Mus musculus: one gene and its partner. The protein of the gene in region 2 interacts with the protein of the main gene of each other region in a biochemical or structural test. Links are inferred from orthologs where the notes say so. Each region holds a gene or a part of one and is shown on either strand. Other genes may lie near its edges. The genes, in order: Cav1 and Ptpn11.

Region 1 (10,271 bases), on a different chromosome or scaffold from region 2:
TATCGTATTTCCACAGAGCCCTTGGGACAGCACTGAAATAATAAGATAATAATAATAAGCATTACTGGTCCTACGCTAGTCAGTTCTCCACCTCTGGAACAAGTACTTGAGGTAATCAACTTGTAAGGAAAAAAGAATTTTTCTGACTCACAGTTTGATTGTAGTTCATGGTCAGATGTACCGGCTTTGGGGCCAGTTTTAAAGTAGCACATGGTGGGAGCATTGAACAGAACAAAACTATTTGCTTTATAGTAGGGACAGTACTCTTTCTGAGTTTGCCTACAGTGACCTAATAATCTCACTTCATAATGTCTCCACCACCTCCTAACAGTACCACTCTGGGGACTTTGGAGGAACAGTCCAAAGAGTATCTCCTAAGAGGTGCATGGAAGGACCATGAAAAATGATATACGGGCATTCACTGCCTGAGGACAGAGAAGTGATTCCTACAGTCATTGGGCTGCAAAGCATCCTAAGACCTATACATGCCTCAGAATTGAATTCCTTAGCAATTCACAAGCTCACTTCTAAACAAACTACTGAGGAATGGAGGAAAGTACAAACTGTCCTCAGTGAACTTTCTGCTACCTAACGAAATTGGGTTTTGTTAGGGAAATTAAGTTTAGCTATAGAAAAGGGTTGCTATGGTTCACAGATGACTTTAACAGTGTCTATAATGTTGTCCCCTTACGTTCTAAGGCAAATAAGACAAAATGATTTTACCATCAAGCTTGATTGGGCCTGTTCATATTATGTGCTTACTTTGGACAGTTGTATTATTTTACAGGAAACATATTTTACAGTGGTAGTTTGAATAAAATGGTCCCACATGCCCATAGATTTGAATGTTGGGTTATTAGGGAGTAGTCCTACTTGAAAGTGATTTGGAGGTGTGACTGGGGATGGGCTTTGGGGTTTCAAATGCTCCAGCCAGGCCCAGTGTCTTTCTTTCTCTTCCAGCTGCCTGCAGATCTAGATGTAGAACTCTCCGCTGCTTCTCTAGCACCATGTCAGCCTGCATGTCTCTGTGGTTCCCATTATAAGAAAATGGATTAAACTTTTGAAACTGTAAGCAAGTCCCAATTAAATGCTTTCTTTTGGAAGAGTCGTCATAGTCATGGTTTCTCTTCACAGTAATAGAACACTTACTAAGACATTTTGTGAAGTAAAATGTGTCCATTCCATTATTGAATTTGTGGGCTAAACTCTGTCCCTGAGGGTTAGTGGCATCTATTACAATTTAGGTAATTGCACCAATATTTTAACTGTGTCATCTTATGGAATGTTCTCAGCAATCTCGATGGATATGCATCAATTATGTCTTCCATTTTTAAAAACTAAAGAATGTAAATCTAATTAGAAACACTCTCCGGGCATCTTGATCAGAAAAACAAAGATATAATTTGCTTTGTTTTTTTTAATAAACAAATAAATAAATAAATATCATTAAAATACTGAAAGAAAAGCTGGGCATGACATGCCTATAAATTCCAGTATTTGATAGGTGGAGGCAGGAGATGAGAAGTTCAAGGCCAGCCTTCTCAAATACATTGATATTTGATGATGAGGAAGAAGAAGAAGAAGAAGAAGAAGAAGAAGAAGAAGAAGAAGAAGAAGAAGAAGAAGAAGAAGATGATGATGATGATGATTCAAGCAAAGAAGTTCCAGCTAGGCTCCCTGTCAGACAGGGAAGAAAGGAATCAGCAAGGTAACAAATCTTCAGTCAGAATGCTGTTACTTTCCAAGTGAAATCCATGAAATTAGGGAAGAAGACCTCCATGGAACCTGGTAGACAGAGTAAGTAGAGGAAAGCATATGAGGGCTACCAGCCAATTAGCAGTGCTGGGAGGAAAGCCTCTGAGATATAGCTCAAGTCTGGAATGAGTGGTAAGTGACTTTGCCATAGTTACACACACACACACACACACACACACACACACACACACACACACACACACACACAGAGCCATTTACCATTTACAACCCATTCCCAAATCTCTTTTCTAAGCTGATTATGAAATATTGAAAGATTTGCTTGTTTGTTTGTTTGTTTTTCCTTTTGAAGATGTATTTATTTTCTTTTGTCTGTAGGAGTGTTTGCCTGCGTGTATTTGTGCACACCAAGTGAGTGTCAGTGCCAGAAGAGGGCCGAGGATCCCCTAAAACTAGGGTTATGGACAGTGTGATCTACCAAACCCAACCCAGATCCTATGCAAGAGCAGCAAGCTCTCATAACCCTCCTTACCTCTAATCCATCGCTCCAGCCCTGGATTTTAAATCTTAAGACTATTAGTATTGCTTAACCTTAGGCTTCTAACCAGAGAAGAGAAAAAAGATAGAACTAAACGAAAAGAGGAAAAAGACTCAGTGTCATGAGAATGGGAAAGATAAAGCACGGTAGGAAGATGGGCCTGGAAGAAAGGCAGGGCGAACACAAAAAAAGCAGCTAATTGTTATTTAGCCACAAGCAGATCCTGTGTCCTGGAACTTAACAAGTGCAGTTAGTTGTCAACTTAGAAACAGTTTATTTTCCTCAGGAGTGTTAGTGTATCCAGACATCAGTGTCTTTATGTCTAAGATAGCGGGATTAGATGACCATTACCATGTTTAGTTAAGTATCTCTACTGATGCAGAATCCTCAGGCTTTTAAAGTTGCATCTGACATTCGAAAAATAGCAAATAAATAAACTGTAATACTCATTTCCAGCAAATGATTTAGAGAAAGCTATTAACTTTCCCTCAAGCCCAAAGTCACATGTGTGAATATCAAAGAAAAGGATTATTTATATCACCTATTCACTTAAATCTCATACCTAAGTTAGCAGAGTTAACTTCTCATGGGGTCAGAGTCATTTCTCCCAGTCAGCTGTCACAAGACCTTAAGAACTGTTTCTCTGTAGCATCTGTGTCTTGTTGAGGTGGGTCACCTAAACAGCTATCGTTTTTCTAGTCATTGCGGATTCATCTTGGCATCCAGAGCACTCCCCTAATCTTTATGATTCCAGAGCCGCTGTTGACTTGACTTGGATATGGGCTTTCCCCTGGAGGTGGCTTTCCCTCTGCTGGTTTAGGTAGGCATCCACTGAAGGACCTTTCCAGAACTTCTTTCTGCCGGGAATGCAAGGCAAACTCGTCAGCTTGAAACAATGGGTGGGAACCAGTTTCTACGTTTTTCCCTAGAACAGAATCCTAATGGCCTCGAAGCAAATATCTCTGAAAGACAATGCAGATAGTAGACAAACGATATCCTAAGAGATCTTCAGAGGTAGCTAAGGCAGCTACATGGAACCAGAAGGCCTTTTCTGGCTTACCGTGTAGGTTGACACACGAGTTGATAAAAGATTTTGGAAAAGTAATTTAGTAGAAATAAAACTAAGGAGACTAGCCTTTGAAAAGACCTTTAATCTCATAGGGAACAGCCAGCATAAGTTACCTAACCTTTACCACACCGACTTTCCCCTGCCATTCCTGGTTAAAATTCACCCTTTTATTTTTTAACAACATACTGCTAACCACCCTCATTAGATTAGTATGACAAATGCAAGTGCTGAAATAGCACGCCGTTCCCATTAGCTATGGGTGTCACACCCTGATAAAAATAAATAAATTATTCATAAATAATATATTTATAATTTATAATAAAATGTATTATAAATTTATAATTAATCAAATAATTAATTAACAATTGCTTCCCTATCAGCCGGGGACCCAGGTTACTGGTCTTTTCAGGTCTTCTTTCCAGCTAGATGATCAGTTCTTTCAGGGTTCCATTTTATCTGTTTTCAAGCCCTGGGATTCCTCTTCATCCTTCTCATGAGCCCGTGCTCCTGCTTCTTGGAAACAATTTTAAAAATGTACTCTCTGTCCTTTCCAGTGTGCATTGGGAGTGTTTGCATAGGAATGCTTAGGTAAAAATTTCCTTTCATCCTTGAGGTGGTGGGGAGTAAACTGCTTAGTTACTGTCTCTAATTAGTTACTCTTTCCTTTAGTAAAAAGCAACTATAGTTTATCTTATTTTTCCTTACAATAAGACAAAGGAGGCTGGCCAGCTTTTGAAACTGATATTTTAGTTGTTAACTTAAAAAGAAAAACTACTTTGTCAAAAAATAAAACAAACAAACAAACAAACAAAAAACATTCTCTCACAGTCAAGCACATATTCCTGCGCTTGGATCCTCTATGGCAGAGGATGTAGTTCAGTGGTAGAGTGTTTAATCTCCAGGCAGAATACACAAAGCCCTGGGTTCGAACTCGTCGATCTTGAGCCAAGAAAAAAAAAAAAAACAAAAAAAACAAAAACAAAAACAAAAAACTCTCTAGTAACAAGCTTGAACCTCTAAGTAAAATTTTCTGCAGTTGAAAATACTCAAAGTGCTTATGGTTACTGTATAACCTGCTGGTAGGGATTTCATTTTCTTTATTGCAGAGGCGCCCACACAGATTGCTTCGTTGTGTTTATATTTAAAAAAAAAAAAAATGTTCCCTCAGGTTCCCAGCCATCTCGCTTCTATATCTTTCTCTGTGAAACAAGGAGACAGATCAGTTCTACGTGGGCGAATTGGGAGGGGAGGCAGCTTAGGACAGGGCAGAATTCTTTCTGCAGAGCCGGATGCCCATACTGGGCATCTCTGCAGACTCTTGGGCTCCCTCCACCCCTGCTGAGATGATGCACTGGGAAAACACGCGCTCTCCCCTGGATGCCTCTCTGTAGGTTTATAGCTGGGAAAACGTTGCCTCGAGTCTAAAATATCTGCCCAAACTGCCTAGCTCTGATGAAGGCTTTCTCACAGGCTCTCAGCTCCCCGCCGGCACTCCCCGCCCTCTGCTGCCAGAACCTTGGGGATGTGCCTAGACCCGGCGCAGAGCACGTCCTAGCCAACTGAGAGCAGAACAAACCCCTGGCGAACAGCCAAGAGGCTCCCTCCCAGCCACCGCCCCCCGCCAGCGCCTTTCCCCCCTCTATACAATACAAGATCTTCCTTCCTCAGTTCTCTTAAATCACAGCCCAGGGAAACCTCCTCAGAGCCTGCAGCCAGCCACGCGCCAGCATGTCTGGGGGCAAATACGTAGACTCCGAGGTAGGCTTGGGTGAGGGCTCCAAAGTGCCTGCTTTTGCTATCTTCCACTCCAAATGCTCGGACTGCTTTCCTCGCCCCAGCCCGCTCTCCACCTTCGCGGCACTCGAGCTGGCACCTTGGAGGAATGGGCTGGGTGGGGAGGTGAAAAGCTAGGAATGTCTTAGGGCTTCCTTTTGGAGAGGAGACCAATGGAGCCAAAAGGGGAAAGAAGGAGACCCGGTCTGCCAGACTTAGAAAAGTTTTCCAGATGACACGTTCGCGAGACCCCACTGCGGTCCAGCCCGTACCTACTGGGAGGCTTAGGGCTGCTGCTCAGTGTGTGTGTGTGTGTGTGTGTGTGTGTGTGTGTGTGTGTGTGTGTGTGTGTGTGTGTGTTCGGGGGAAGGAGATTCATTTGGACAGTGTCCCCCCACCCCAACCCCCCAGGAGCCTAAAGTGGCTGGCTTGGGCAGCGGCATGCGTGTATTGCACTTAGCGAAGTTCTCGAGAACTTCAATAGTTTTTTCTGCCCCTGAGAGGCCCGGGCGGGGGGAGTTCCGAGGTGGGGGAAGCCTCCTTCCTCCCTCACAAGTACCACCGCCATTGTCAACTCCTTCTTGGCACTCAGGTGGACTAAACGTGGAGACCCCGGTTCCCAAATAGGGCTACGATTCAGCTTGGAGTAGACAGCCTGAGAGTGATCTAAGTAAGGGTGGGTCAGGCAGTTCTTCAGATGGCATGTCCTCTGGGGCATGGGGGTGGGGGTGACAGGTCTTGGCACATGCCTCAGCCTAAAGAAGTATGTTAGATTGTGAGCCACTTATTCACCCCCACGGCCTAAGAAAAACCAGGGAGTAAAGGTGGGTTTTAAAAGGGGGTAGGGGCTGTGGCAGGTGCAAGGAAGAAGCACGGAGGGACAGTGAAGATGGGACCATTACGTCTGTCAGTTTGGTCCAGAGTGATCTTGATAATGTTGAAAGGGACCTTAGGACAGTGTTAAGGGTTAAGAGAGGGACCACGGAGCAGGTGAGGTTGTGGGGTCATAGGTCTGGCGGAGAGAAGGAATACAGAGGAGGAGGAACGGGAACCCCAGCCCCTGGGCTGGGGAGTCAGGGCCGAGAGCCGTGGGGAGCAGGAGGGCGCATGGGACTTCGCCCTGACCCCTGGCGGCGGGCGCGGGAGGCAGGCGCTCTCTGCCTGGTACCGAGGGGTGTGGTGTCCTCCGCTCCGTCCTCTTAAAAAGCTTGCAGCGCTGGAGTTTTCTGTGTGCAAGCCTTTCCTTCGAGGTTGAAGCTAGCAAAAGTTGTAGCGCCAGGCTACCCCCGCACAGCCAGGCTGACTCTTGACTCTTGTTTTTCTTTCTGAACTTTTCTTCCCACCGCTGTTGCCGCCCTCCCCTGGCTTGGCCGGTTGCCCTCACAGGGACATCTCTACACTGTTCCCATCCGGGAACAGGGCAACATCTACAAGCCCAACAACAAGGCCATGGCAGACGAGGTGACTGAGAAGCAAGTGTATGACGCGCACACCAAGGAGATTGACCTGGTCAACCGCGACCCCAAGCATCTCAACGACGACGTGGTCAAGGTAAGCATGTTGCTGTCTGGGTCCCACAGTGTACTCTCCCAAGCTTTGACAGACAAGCACTCCTTTTTTGAGCTTGGCTGTGTGTGACCCCCTGCGGGTCTGGTGTCAGAAATGTCGCATCTGCCTGCCTCTTCCTGCTGGCAAGTTCAGCAGGAATTTAGCCAGTTGATGTGGGGGGTCCATAGAACCTTAGCCACGAGTGCCCCACCACACACATGCACATTACTTGGGAAGGGAAAATTATTATGGTCCATTGGCAGGTTAAAAGTCCAGTTACAGCTCTTTTCCATGTTGGTAAAATAATTGTGTGAGACTTTGTGCCACTGGTGAATAACAGAATACAGAATGAGCAGATTCTGTCAGCTAAATAATCTAAATGATTAGCATAAAAATATGAAATGAGTGGAACCGATAACATATGCAGATATGTGTACATATTTTGTATGTAGTGTATGTGTGTGTGTGTGTGTGGTGTTTTAACTATAGAAACATGGCACATGTGCAAGGGTAAGCTCATTTACCAAACTGAAAATCATTTCCACCTCTTGACTTCTGGATCCCTCTAGTTAAATGTGTGCGTGTGTGGTGACAGCCAAGGTCAGCCTGCCCTGGGCTAACAGAACTCAAGATTGGTGTTCCATTTTCAAGATGTCCTTGCTGAGATTTAAAATACCTTACTTTCCTGAGTTGTTGGTCAGCATAGACTTGACACAGTGGTCTGTCTGACTTTCATTATCATTTTGCTATTCAACTTTGACCCTTTCAACAATTCTGGCTCAAGGAATTTCTTGTCTGAATCTGAGTGGGTTGAGAAATCCTGGACTCGAGCTGTCCTTGGCAGAGGATTTCCTCTGAGTGGCCTGGAGGGCCAAGGAAAATCCTAGCTTCAGGGGTTCTAACGGAAGACACTGCCCTGCCCTGCCCAGCCCCTGATTCACCATTGAGGAGGTGATGCAGTTTCTACCCACAGCCTTCTATCTATGGATGGGAGGAGCTCCAGTACAGTTTCACCTTTATGAATAATATATTTCAGAGAGAGAGGCTTAATCTACAACTACAGGGAAAGTGTATCTGTCAAAATTGACTCCCTTGGTTTGCTGGTAGAAAAAAAGGAAAATTGGACCATTTTCTCTTGGCCACATTGTGGAATATTTAAAACCAGCAATGAAGGCACCTCATAAATTGGAAGTTAAGATTGCTAAAAAATCCGTTTATTAGCCACACTTCCTTAAAGGGGAAAGAGCAGTTTTCTTTTCACCCTTCTTGTGCTGCGTTGGTCAAAGAGGGAGACTCCAATTATAAAAGCAGATTTCATGATTACAAATTGGCTCCCTTCTATGGAGCCTCCCTGTTGTTGCAATGTGGATTCCCAAGAGCCAGAGAGCCTCCTGAGATGAGTCAGAAAGGCCAGCAGTGTGGATTTGGGTCCCCACACATAGCATGACTAAGTGGAGAGAGAAGGCCCCACTGGGAAAAGAGACTTCAACACAGATGGAAAAAAGGCATAACAGGCTTGGAGGAAATAGCAGTTTACAAAATACTACGTCAAGAGTGAGTGTGGAGCTCCTCAAATTAGAGAAATTAGAAGAGCTAGAGCAATACCTGCCTGCTTGCTCACAGGAGGAGCAAATCCAGAAAGACAGACAGACAAGAAAAAGCTAACCTTGAGAAAAGAATTTAGAAGAATTTAGGCAGATGTCCTGCCCAGGAGGTTATCTTCTGAAAGCATTTGTTTTGCAGAGAGAGACCCAGGCTACCCCTGCTCATAGACTCCTCCCCTCCCCCACAGAACTAGCTAGAAATTTTCCATCATAGAAATCTCTGCTGGACAGTGTCTTGCTAGAGTGTCCCCTGCTCTTCACCGATACCTTCATATCCAGTTGAATAACACAACTAAACAAACCTTCTATGTAGACAAGAAATGAGGCCCAGATTGAAGGTATAAAGAACACCATAGTCCAATTCGTCTCAGTCCTATGTATCAAGTGTGGAGGCATGGAAAGGCCCCAAAGGCTGCATGCTCTACACTTGCACTTCATCAACACAGAGCATGATCACCTAGCCCTCTGGCAACAAGAATATCCATTTCAATATAGAATCGATTGCCAATATAACTGTTTTCATATAGAGGCTTGACACTTCACATAACGGTGTATCTACATATATACAAAATATTATGATTTGAATGTTTTCTTAAGCTTCTTTTACCCAGATAGTTAAACGTTGGATTCACCATTCTTCCTCTGACATTTATAATGTTCATTCATTTGCTCATTACCCATGATTAGAATTCGAAAGTAAAAAAAAAAATGCATTAAAATATATGATCTTATTAATTGCTATTCAGCTTATTACAATGTTGTGATGTGTTAGGCTGGATTTTTATGATTTAGTTTTTAAAATAAGTCCAGCAGATAAAAATATTACTGTTAATACTGCTAATAAAACAAGAAAGATATGTACATATTACAAAAATCTTAATCTTGAACACACACACACACACACACACACACACACACACAGAGCCACAATGGATCCTTTAGTTTTGCCCTGACTACCAAGATACATGTAGCTCTATTATTTGTTTTATTAGCACAATTTATTTACTCTCCCCCACAGGTGGTTTTGTGTTCTCTCTCTCTATCTCCCTCTCTCTCCTGGCATGTAGTAATATGAGGCTCCATTGCACTGTCAACTGCATTGTCATTTTAGAAATAGACTAAATATGTGCTATGCTAAGTCAAAGTAAGTGGTATCGCATATTGCAGAATAAAATGTTCTCAAAAGTGATTGTCACTGATACTGTCAGGAAGATGTCACAGGAAGAGCAGCAGGTAGGTAAAAGATTCCTTAAATCCTTTAATGGAGGGGGTCAAGAGGAGCATGGGATCTGACCTAGGTGGGAGAGCACAGTCTATATGCAGAAGCTTAGGAGGGCAGGAGGGTGCACGGAAGGAGACCAGACTGTTATATATTGTATTTTGAGAATATTCTCTTCCATACCTTCTTACCCTCCATCTTCTCACCCCTCCCTTTCTTTGATCCCCCTAGACACTTCCATATTATTATTTTAAATAAAGTTTGATTACAATTTTTAATTTTTGAGATTATAATTATGCTCCCCTCCCCACTTCCCTTTCCTCCTTCCAGCCCCTCCCATTGTAACCCTTGACTTTTTCTCAGATCCATGGCTGCTTTTTCTTCAAATATATGTGCATATAAATTTCTAAACATAAAAATATAGCCTGCTCTGTCTATATAGTGTTGTCTGTGTATGTTCGCAGGGATATTTGGTATTAGATGATTAACTGGTATGCTGCTACCTGGGGAAGACTGTTTCCCTCACTCTCAGCATTCCTTAGCTGCCTGTAGTTTTTGTCTAGGGTTGAGGCCTTGTGAGTATTTCTATCCCTTAGCATGTCTACCATGTCATCCTTGCTAAGGTCTTGTTTAGGCAGCCATATTGGTGAGGCTTCATGGGTGTTGCTGCTCTGACGTTTCTAGGAAACACAGTGTCACAGCAACCTATGTATTCCTCTGACTCTTCTCATCTTTCCTCCCCCTCTTCCACCACAACCTCTTAGTATTAGGTGCAGTTGTTCCATGCAAATTTTAATATCTCACTTT
Region 2 (9,585 bases):
CATTCATTCATACATACAATCATTCATTCATACAGTCATTCATTCAGCTAATTCATTTTGATACTAGTATGTGTTAGCACTTTGCAATTGTATTAACTCAGATTTTGGAACTTGGAACTTTGGTGTTAAAAAAGTATATAGGAGGGATGGGTTGTGGTGGAACAAGCCTTTGAGGCCAGCACCCAGAGAAAGGACTAATCTCTAAGTTCAAGGTCAGCCTTGTTTACGTAGTATGCTCTAGGACAGCCAGAGCTACATAGTGAGGCCTATGTCTCAAAAATAAACATACATTTCTGCGTGTATGGTTTGGGCTGGGGGTGTAGCTCACTTGGTTTGGAACTTGCCTAGTATACACAGAGCTATGGTTGGCCCCATGTAAACCTGAAGTGCTGGCATGTGCCTGAATCTCAGCACTTGCGAGACCAAGATGGGATCAGAAATTCAAGGTTGTCTTTGGCTGTGTATTGAGTTCCAGGTTAGTGAGAGCTATATAGGACGATATTGCAAAAACAACAAAGCAACAGTGAAAAAGAAAACTACCACTGCACACAAAAGAGTCAACTGCACACAAAACAGTCAACTACCTGTCTCCCTGCTTATTTTTAAATTGAATTTCAATGTGTGTGAGCCTGTGTCCATGTGTAGAAGGAGGAGGAATCAGACCCCTTGCACCAGGATGTGCACTGCCCAGGGTTGCTGATGGGAACTTAGCTTTCATCTGCAGAAGCACTTGCGTCCTTAACCACTGCACTATATGGCTCCAGCCCAAGCCCAGCGGATTCTTAAATTAAGCAACAGGACAAAACTCATTTAGTATAATGAATTAGTTCAAAATGTAGCCATCTTCCAACTTTGGATGAGTTAAGCCCTTTGGGAGTAAAAGAATTGCTAAATGAAAACAAAGTGGCAGTTGGGTGGAGAACCGTGGGGAAAGAGGCGGAGTGAAACAGAGGAAGCGGGCCAGCAAGAAAGAGATACACAGAGGGGCGAGCAGAGAACGGGACAGAGCACCGTAGGGACAGTCCTGAGTGGCTTATTAAGACTGCCTCTTGTGCTGCAGGGCTTTTTGTTTGTTATTTCAAGACAGAGTTTCTTTGTCTGTACAGCCCTTGCTATCCTGGAACTTACTCTGTGGACCAGGCTGGCTTCAAACTCACAAAGATCTGCCTGCCTCTGCCCCGCAAGCACCGGGATCAAAAGTGGCACCACCAGTGCCCAGCTGTGCCACTGCAGATTTGTTGAGAGGTTTTTTTTTTGTTTTTTTTTTTTTTTTAATTTTCCATTTATATTAGTAAGTACTTTATTTGCAAAAGCAGTGTGTGGAGTGCGTGGTATTTCTTTTACTCAACTTCTGAACACAAGCATTTATTTTTTTCTTCAAACTTTATTTAATATACATAATATTTAAAAAGGGAATGTTTATAACTTACATGAGTCTGTACCTCTTTGCTTCTAAGTGCATTGGTATATATTTTTTAAAAAAAGATGTTCTGTTACATCATCATGATTCAGTTACTAAGTTGGGGGAGCAAATTGAAAGCTCTGTATAATCTGCAGGTCAGGGCTGGAGCCCAGCGTGTGAGCATTTACTAGGCTCCTGGGGTCCATCCCAGTACAGCACACAAGCTTGCCCAGCATGTGTGAGCACTTATGTAGCTTGAGGCAAGAAGGCTGGGAATTCCAGTCTAGCCTGGGCTATGTTAGACCTTTTCTTGATAAAACCACAACCAAACAAGAAATTAAACATATGTCTTGGAAATACAGCTCAGAGGTTAAGGATACACACTGTTTTTATAGAGGACATGATGGCAGAGGGCTCAAAACTGCAGGTAACTCCACCTCTAAGGGATCCAGTGCATGTGTGTGTGTGCGCGAGTACACACACACACACCTCATGGTGACTTCCTCATGTGCACACACAGACATAAACACAACTCAAAAAGCTAAAGTAGGCCATACTCCACATTCAGATTTTTCCAGTTTGTCTTGCTGTGGTCAGGGTCACATGGTGTGTATAGCATTCATGTTTGTTTCCTGTCTTTCATCTGGAATAGTTTCTATGTCATACTATTGCTCTTGCTCCATACTTGGGACATTCCAGGAGCTGTCAGTTGCACCCTGCAGCTGAGACTCAGGCTGTGCTGTGCCAGGCCCTTCTGCACCACTCCAGTACCTTAGGGCTAAGTTGATTCAGGACAGTCAGGTCAGCTCTGCCTCTTGAGAAGATGATGGTGAGGTTTCTTCACTGGGAACTTACAGAATCAAGGCTAGCTGGGCATGGTGGCACATGCCTTTAATTCCTATAGTGCAGAGACACAGAGGCAGGGGGATTTCTGTGAGTTCCAGGCCAGTCAGGGCTATATAATGAGACTCTGCCTCAAAACAAAAATACTGTGTCTATGTATTGAGAGTGTACAGTGTATTTTGTGTGTGGAAATGCTATGGGATGATTGTCATGGTTAGTTGGTTAGTGTGCCCAGCACCCCACAGTGCATGCTGAGGTGGTGGAGTCTACTCTCAGCAGAGTTCAAGTTTGCTCTACCTTGTCCAGTCCAGTGCTGGGCATGAGGCTTCCAGAGCCCGTGGAAGATGTTATGTCTGAAGATATGTACTGTGGTCAGTGTCTCCCTCCTGCCACAGTCCCCAACAGCCCCTGCCCTAATCACAGTTTGTAGAAGTCGGGATGCTTGGTGAGCCTTCCAATTCTGGATTGGAGTTCATTCATTTCATATGGTCAAGTTGACAACCAGGAATAACCACTGCAGGTTAGAATCCTGTTCTTCCTGCCCCCTCCTCCCCAGTTCTGGGATGGGGATGTGCACAGCTCCCTCTCCTTGCTGCTCAGTCTCCCAGAATGGAAGGTGTCCAGAGTGAAGAGGGTGGCCACGCAGGAGCCTCACTTTGATTGGATTTGTTGTCTGTGCTCTGGGAGCACATCCATGGATAGTGTGCAGTGGCCATTGACTCTTCACATAGTGTACCCATGCCTAAGCATCCCAGGGCACTTGGTCTTAGACATGAAGCCTGTAGATTCTCATGTTCCTTGAATAAGAACTACTCATTCCTCCTGTGGTCTTCATGTAGCCCAGGAAGGCCTTGAACATAGGGAAGTCTGCACATGTGCAGTACAGGTGCATTGTTATGGATATTCACTGCATGGAGAGCCGACTCTGCAGGGCTGTCTGCTCTCTACACACATGGCATGTGTGAGCCTTTATACATGGTGAGATGAGATTACATTCCTGTTGTTTGCTCTGTTGGTTTCCTTCCCCTACCATTTCATCTTAGGGTGCTGTGGTTGAGATGGCTGAGCACATCTCAACATTGTGGGAGGGCTCTGGGTGCCATCGCCAATACTGCTAAATACATAAAGTGCATTACTGTGCCTTCCATCCTTGCACACAGTGATAGAGCTCTGTGCTGAAGCAGGAGTAGTGCCTCTAGCCTGTGTCAGTCAGCAGTTCCTTGCAGCTCTGGGGGCTCTGAGGGTTGTGGTTGCAGCACACTCCTCCTGCAGGTGCCGTGAGCTCCTAACCATTTAGTCAGCATGTTAGTGTTCTTAAGAGTCTGGCCTGTGGGCTGGAGAGATGGCTTAGCAGTTAAGAGCACTGACTGCTCTTCCAGAGGTCCTGAGTTCAATTCCCAGCAACCACATGGTGGCTCACGACCATCTGTAATGGGATCTGATGCCTTCTTCTGGTGTGTCTGAAGATAGCTACAGTGTGCTCATATAAATAAAAATAAGTAAATCTTAAAAAAAAAAAAAAGAGTCTAGCCTGTCCATCTGCCTCTTTTTTTTTCTTTTGATAAAATAGCTTTTTTGTTTCTGTATTTTTCTAAAAATCATATCCACAGTCCTCCTTACTTGTATTTTTTTTTCCTTAACTTTCAGAAAAGCAAAAGAAAAGGACATGAATATACCAATATTAAGTATTCCTTGGTGGACCAGACAAGTGGTGATCAGAGTCCCCTGCCACCCTGCACCCCAACGCCACCCTGTGCAGAGTAAGTAGCGATACGGCGGCAGCGTAGGTCTGGTAGAAGCTTAACAGCAGTTGCTTGCAGTATTCTCCTCAGGCTTGCTTGCTGCCCACTGATGGTGCATGGGGCGGTGGGGTCCAGGGACTCTCTAGGGCTCATGGTTGCAGGGCCCCTAACCAGTAGGCACGTGATGGGCTCTCCAGGATCCTGTGGGGCCCTGGGCATGTTAGGTAGGGTTCTCTGGGGAAAATCTAATTTTCCTTTTGCAGGGAGCATTATTTCAGTGGGAAGCGCTGTCCCTTACAGTGTGGAGACTCTTAAGAATAAATAAACTCTCTGTTCATGTGTGGACATGACTATGATCTGCCAATCTTCCTGTCAGTCAGGGTTTTTAAACCAAGGGTCAGAAAGCCAGAGCCCATAGGCTAGCTTTGCTTTTTAAAGGAGTTCTTATTTAAGACAAACAAACAAACAACCCCAAAAACCTGACAAGCCAACAGTTGCATGGGGACAGCTATCCCAGTAGGAAATGGCGAGCAATTACGAATGGGTGTGCTGTAAAAGAAGCTGCAGGTGGCTTACGGACATGCAGGAGAGGCTCATTTTCCTTGGTGGCCAGCAAACACGAAGGGAAAGCTCAAAGTTCTTTTTTTTTTTTTTGGGGGGGGGTTCGAGACAGGGTTTCTCTGTATAGCCCTGGCTGTCCTGGAACTCACTTTGTAGACCAGGCTGGCCTCGAACCCAGAAATCCACCTGCCTCTGCCTCCCAAGTGCTGGGATTAAAGGTATGTGCCCCCAACGCCCGGCTTCAAAGTTCTTTCCACCAAGCAGAGCCACCAAGCAGTACCAGCAGGGGGTGTCCAGTGGTGGTGAGGACAGTTTTTAAGGAACGGCTGTTATATAGTGGTGGTTCAAGCACATTGGTTCAGCTCCACAGGACAGCTTGCCCCAAACTGCAGCCAGAGCCTTCTGAACACACTAAAATTTCTGACCTTGAACTTGGAGATTGCCTCTTATGGAAGTGCTCAGATCTCAGGAAAGATTGTGTTCCAGAGGCATTCAGTATGATGCCATCTTAACGGTTTGTACATCTGTGACAGAAAAGTGTGACATTTCCAGCATGTGAGTTCAACTAGAGACCCACTTAGAAGCAGAAAGGGCCCAGGCCCTATTAGTCAGACTCCAAGTAGGACTGAACTTAGGACAAAAAATGGAAAATAATCCCTGGTGCTCACTGTTGTCACCGACAACAACCCTGTGCAGCAGCGGCTTGGAGGGCTCAGGTGGTAGAGTATGTAACCAGCGGTGTGGCCATGCCTGTCTACATCATTCTCTGTGTCTGTTAGACAGCCTGCTTACAACTCGTGACGTCAAAGTGTCTTAGGCCATGTTGGGGTGAAACACCCCAGTTCTCTGAGCTGGCGCTCTATAGCCTGCCACTGAAGGCTCCTGGGAGCAGCAGGACTCCAGTAGAAACCACATTCACATTCTGGGAGACCCAGGTCCCTGCAACTTAACTGACAGTTTCCAGGGCTGTTTGGCCAGGATAGGATTGAGGTCTGCTGTGACCTCACTCTGTTCCTCCTGTCACCTCAATGCTTGATGTCTGCAAGGGCTCAGGCTTACATGTCTCACACCGTAGCCCCTTTACCCCTCATGTACCCGGGAAAGGAAAACCCCAAGGCGTAGCTGACAGAGGCCGTCTGACCAGTAGGGTCATCATCACCCATTGGTCATCACCACCCATTGGTTCTTCAGAAGGGCTTTGGCAGCTCCTGGTTTAAAGTAGGACACGCAGGGCAGTATCTGTTAGCCAGTCATGTGCTAGCAGCTGTGCTGCCTGTAGCCCAAGGTTGCTCTCCGCCATAACATTTACCTTTCCTTCCCCTGGAATCCCACTTGTTTGCTTCTGCCGTGGGCTTTTAAAGCCCCGCTGACTTTAATATTGGCTCTACTACGCAGCTCTGAGAGCAGATAGAGGCCTGTGTTTACATTCTCTCTCTGTTAAACACAGAAATGAAATTATGTGGCAAGGGTGTTCTCTCCTGAGTCACCTTGTCCCTTCCTGCTTTCCTCTGCCCCAGCAGGCTGACTGGAGACACTGGTGTCTTATACAGTTAGCTGTGGTAACTTGATGGGGAGCCAACATCCTTCCTATGAAGCTCACCCATGACTGACAAGCAACTCTGCCACACCCTTTTTGTTGTCCCATGTAGTATGCACACCTCAGATCCTGGCCCTGGGGCTGCTCAGGATCTGTCCTCATGTCCCACACGACCGGCTGATTCTGTTCTTTACAGAAGGAGGCTGGGCCCGCAGATGTGTTAGTTCATCCAAGGCTCTTAGGGTGACCGGAGCCCTCACTTGTGATGCTTCTGGGGAAATGGCCACCGTTCCCATCTGTGTGCATGACCCAACTCCTCCCCTGCCCTCCAAGCTGCCTGCCCTCCATTCACACTCCAAAAGGCAAAGGACTCGAGGCCCCTGCTGCTTTTCCCACTTCACGTGTGTGATGTCTGTTTTGAGAGTCAGCTCCAGAGTGGGAAGGGGGTCCGTCTGAGCATAGCTGGACATGGCAGTTCAGGTTAGCGTCTTCCTTCTTCTCTGTCTGCAGAATGAGGGAGGACAGCGCCCGAGTCTATGAGAACGTGGGCCTCATGCAGCAGCAGAGGAGTTTCAGATGAGCCCACGGCGACAGAACGCAGGTATTGAGTGTCACGGCTTTCTCTGGGGCGGATTCACAGCAGTCTAGACAGACGGGTGATTTGTGCATGCCAGAGCAAGATGTTCTGTGACTGAGTTGTGCAGAGCAGCCTCTTTTTCTTTGCCTTGGCCCTCTCCAGCCTGGGTTTGGTATACAGTTCATGGAGCATTAAGTCAGATCAGTTAACTGTGTGGGGATGGGGCTGGCCCAGCAGTTGACAGGGATGTAGTGGACTTGGGTCGGTCCATGTCTTGGCATCAACAGCAGGGGTGCTTCTGAGGGTGTGGGGTCCCAGGCTCCCCTGAGTTTTGATTGAGTCATTTTCAGTGAGGTGTGAGGTGTGCCTCCCTGGCTTCTGTGGTAAGTTAGAAACACACAGTATGGCGTCCCAACGTTGACATTTCTGGCAGCGATGATGTAGCTCAACTGAGAGCATTTATTCAGCATGTGTGTGTGTGTGTGTGTGTGTGTGTGTGTGTGTGTGTGTGTGTGTGTGTGTGTGTGTGGCATGCCGGCTTCAGTGCCCAGCACCCCTCAGAGAAGATGTATAGATGTGTGCTCCCTAAAAGTCTAACGTGTTTCTTTCTCAGATGTGAACTTTCACCCCTTTCCTAAAATGTCAAGACTAGACGAGCGTTCCCAGGACCCGTGCGTGCGTTCAGAAGCCGGCACTGGCTGGACTGCCTCTTGAGAAGCGAAGTTTGGAACCATTTGAACAGCACGTGCCTAATTGGCACCTCCTTTCCTCAGCTAAGGAGAGACTGCTCTGCGTTCTTGACAATGCTATTTTCATAGAATTGGTTTTGAATTGTGGAAGCAGCTAAATTGTGCTCTGTATTTTCTACATTATGGGACTCAAATTCTAGTTATGGGCAGGATTTTGTTTTTTTTTATGACCTTAACAGATCTGATTTTTTTTTTCTTTCTCTCTCTTTGGGGAATCATGGGCCCCTTGTAAGAAGAAAGGATTTAGGGAGATTCCGGCACAGCCTCCCCAAAAGCCAGCCGTCTGTAACCCACTGTTCATCTTGCTGCTCTGCACAGGGCTCCCAGGGCCCTGGCTGGAGACTGCTTAGGGTCATCATCATCACAGAGGCTCACTGTTTAGTTCCAGGGACCAGTAGGCCAGGCTGCAGGCTTGCACCTGGTGAGGGCCTTCTGGCTGTGCTACACTGGACGGGAGAGCACCAAGTGGGGAATCACTTTTATGGCACAAGTTCACTGCACCCTCAAGACCCAGGTATCCCTTATCATCTCACTGTCCACACAGTGACATTGGGAGGTCTTTGTGCTCCCTGCAGACACATGTCAGGGCACTTTTAAAACAGATTGACCCAGCCAAGGACAGTTCACTTTTGGTGGCTTCTTTTGTTTAGTGAAACGGTCATTCAGCCACTGAATGAGAGGGTCAGGAGGTAGACAGTCATGGCTGAAAGAAAGGCCCTGGGAACTGGTGTGTGAAGTCTTTCTTCTGAAGATGACTCCTTGGCTGCAGGTGTGGACAGAGAAGCTGTTCTGGGCAAAGTGACCATGTTGTCTCTGTACTGGAGTATTAGTAAGATCCCGGGGTGAGCGGTATTTGGTCCTCACTTGTTCCTGACCACCCCATTCCCGTTCTTCAGTGCAGCACATCTGATCTGGGTTGCATGAGCCCCCACTGTCCTGTAAGGGTCACTTGGGAGGTTGGCAACATGGTCAGAACCCTGGGTGTCTGCTTCAGGGAGGTGTTTCCCTGTCTCTTCTCCTGGGTGTCTGAGTAGCCTTACGAGCAGGGTGGCTGGACCCTTATGTGTCCCCCAGGGTGAAAGCCAGAAGTGGCCAGGTCTTCTTCAGGCGCAGGCCTGGAGTGACCATGATGACTTCTTCCGTGGCTGCTGTGAGAGAATCAGGCTCAGCCCAAGGTGTGAAGTCCTATGCTCTGGGGCCACCAGTCAGACAGCCCCAGCCCGTGGCATAGAAGCAAGTGGCTGTAGTTAGCAAGAGCCCAGGCTGCTTATAGTATCTGGTGTAAACTGTGTGTCGGATGGGAAATGTACAGCAGGTCTTCTAGAAGCTTCCGAGCCCCGCACGTGTGCTGCAGCGCCCACCTGAGGACCTGGTGTGGTCGGGTTGGTGGTGTGTACGTGGGAGCCCATCCCTGAAGCACCGCTGGGGTGGGAAGGCGATGCTTCCCGGGCCTTGGCTGAGTATGAAGAGCGGCAGTCCTGGCTAGGCCTCCTATCAGTTCCAGTCAGCCGTGTCTGCCCTAACCAAACAGCAGGATTTGCTAATGTTCTGCCGTAAGTGCCTTCTCCAGAGATGTCCCTCTGCCCAGTGTTGATCCTTGAGAGCACGTTTCAGCGAGAGCTTCCAGATGTGATGCTCGTGACCAAGCAACCGCACAGTCTCCACTTGATTCTTCTTGCTTCCATTCCTGAAAGGAAGAATTGGACCTGCCCTGCAGCTGCCCTGTCTGGGGCCTCCTGCTCCCTGGCAGCCTGAGGTAGTTGGGGAGCACAGGGGCCACCATTTTCTTAGAGCATGTGCATCGATCCTGGCCCCTTCTCCAACTGAATTCGATTGCTTCAGAGCACAGCATGGCCTGGTGGGAATGTGGAGACTGCTGTCTTCTCCGAGAGTTTGTAATGAGATCAGTTCAGCATTCACAGCCAGGATCCCAGATCCTACTCTCTATAGCACATTGTCACAATGAACTGTGTTGGGTTGGTGGTAATGTCTAGACTCTGGACTTGGAGGGCAAAGTTTCTCACCAGCACACAGAGGTTAGCTGAGCTGCTGATCTCTCAAGCTAACATTTCTACTTGCAGCTTGAGATCCTGGAACAGAGACCTGCCCTTGGCCCCCTGTGTTCGGTACAGCAAGTGTTTTCCTTTGGATTCCCCCCAGAAGCCAGCCAGCTG

The links.
Region 1: the proteins of Ptpn11 (region 2) and Cav1 form a complex in vitro, tested with the Homo sapiens proteins (2 studies listed by BioGRID). The link is inferred for Mus musculus from reciprocal best matches to the Homo sapiens genes PTPN11 and CAV1.

What each region holds. Positions count from the first base shown.
Region 1 is NC_000072.6:17,301,402-17,311,672, forward strand, and holds the start of Cav1 (caveolin-1), read left to right. Parts: upstream 1-4,933; 5' UTR 4,934-5,048; coding exon 5,049-5,078; intron 5,079-5,651; exon of another isoform or gene 5,652-5,763; intron 5,764-5,881; exon of another isoform or gene 5,882-5,917; intron 5,918-6,238; exon of another isoform or gene 6,239-6,479; coding exon 6,480-6,644; intron 6,645-10,271. UniProt on the Homo sapiens protein: May act as a scaffolding protein within caveolar membranes. Forms a stable heterooligomeric complex with CAV2 that targets to lipid rafts and drives caveolae formation. Mediates the recruitment of CAVIN proteins (CAVIN1/2/3/4) to the caveolae.
Region 2 is NC_000071.6:121,131,837-121,141,421, reverse strand, and holds part of Ptpn11 (tyrosine-protein phosphatase non-receptor type 11), read left to right. Parts: intron 1-3,892; coding exon 3,893-4,005; intron 4,006-6,595; coding exon 6,596-6,665; 3' UTR 6,666-6,686; intron 6,687-7,275; 3' UTR 7,276-9,585. UniProt on the Homo sapiens protein: Acts downstream of various receptor and cytoplasmic protein tyrosine kinases to participate in the signal transduction from the cell surface to the nucleus. Positively regulates MAPK signal transduction pathway. Dephosphorylates GAB1, ARHGAP35 and EGFR.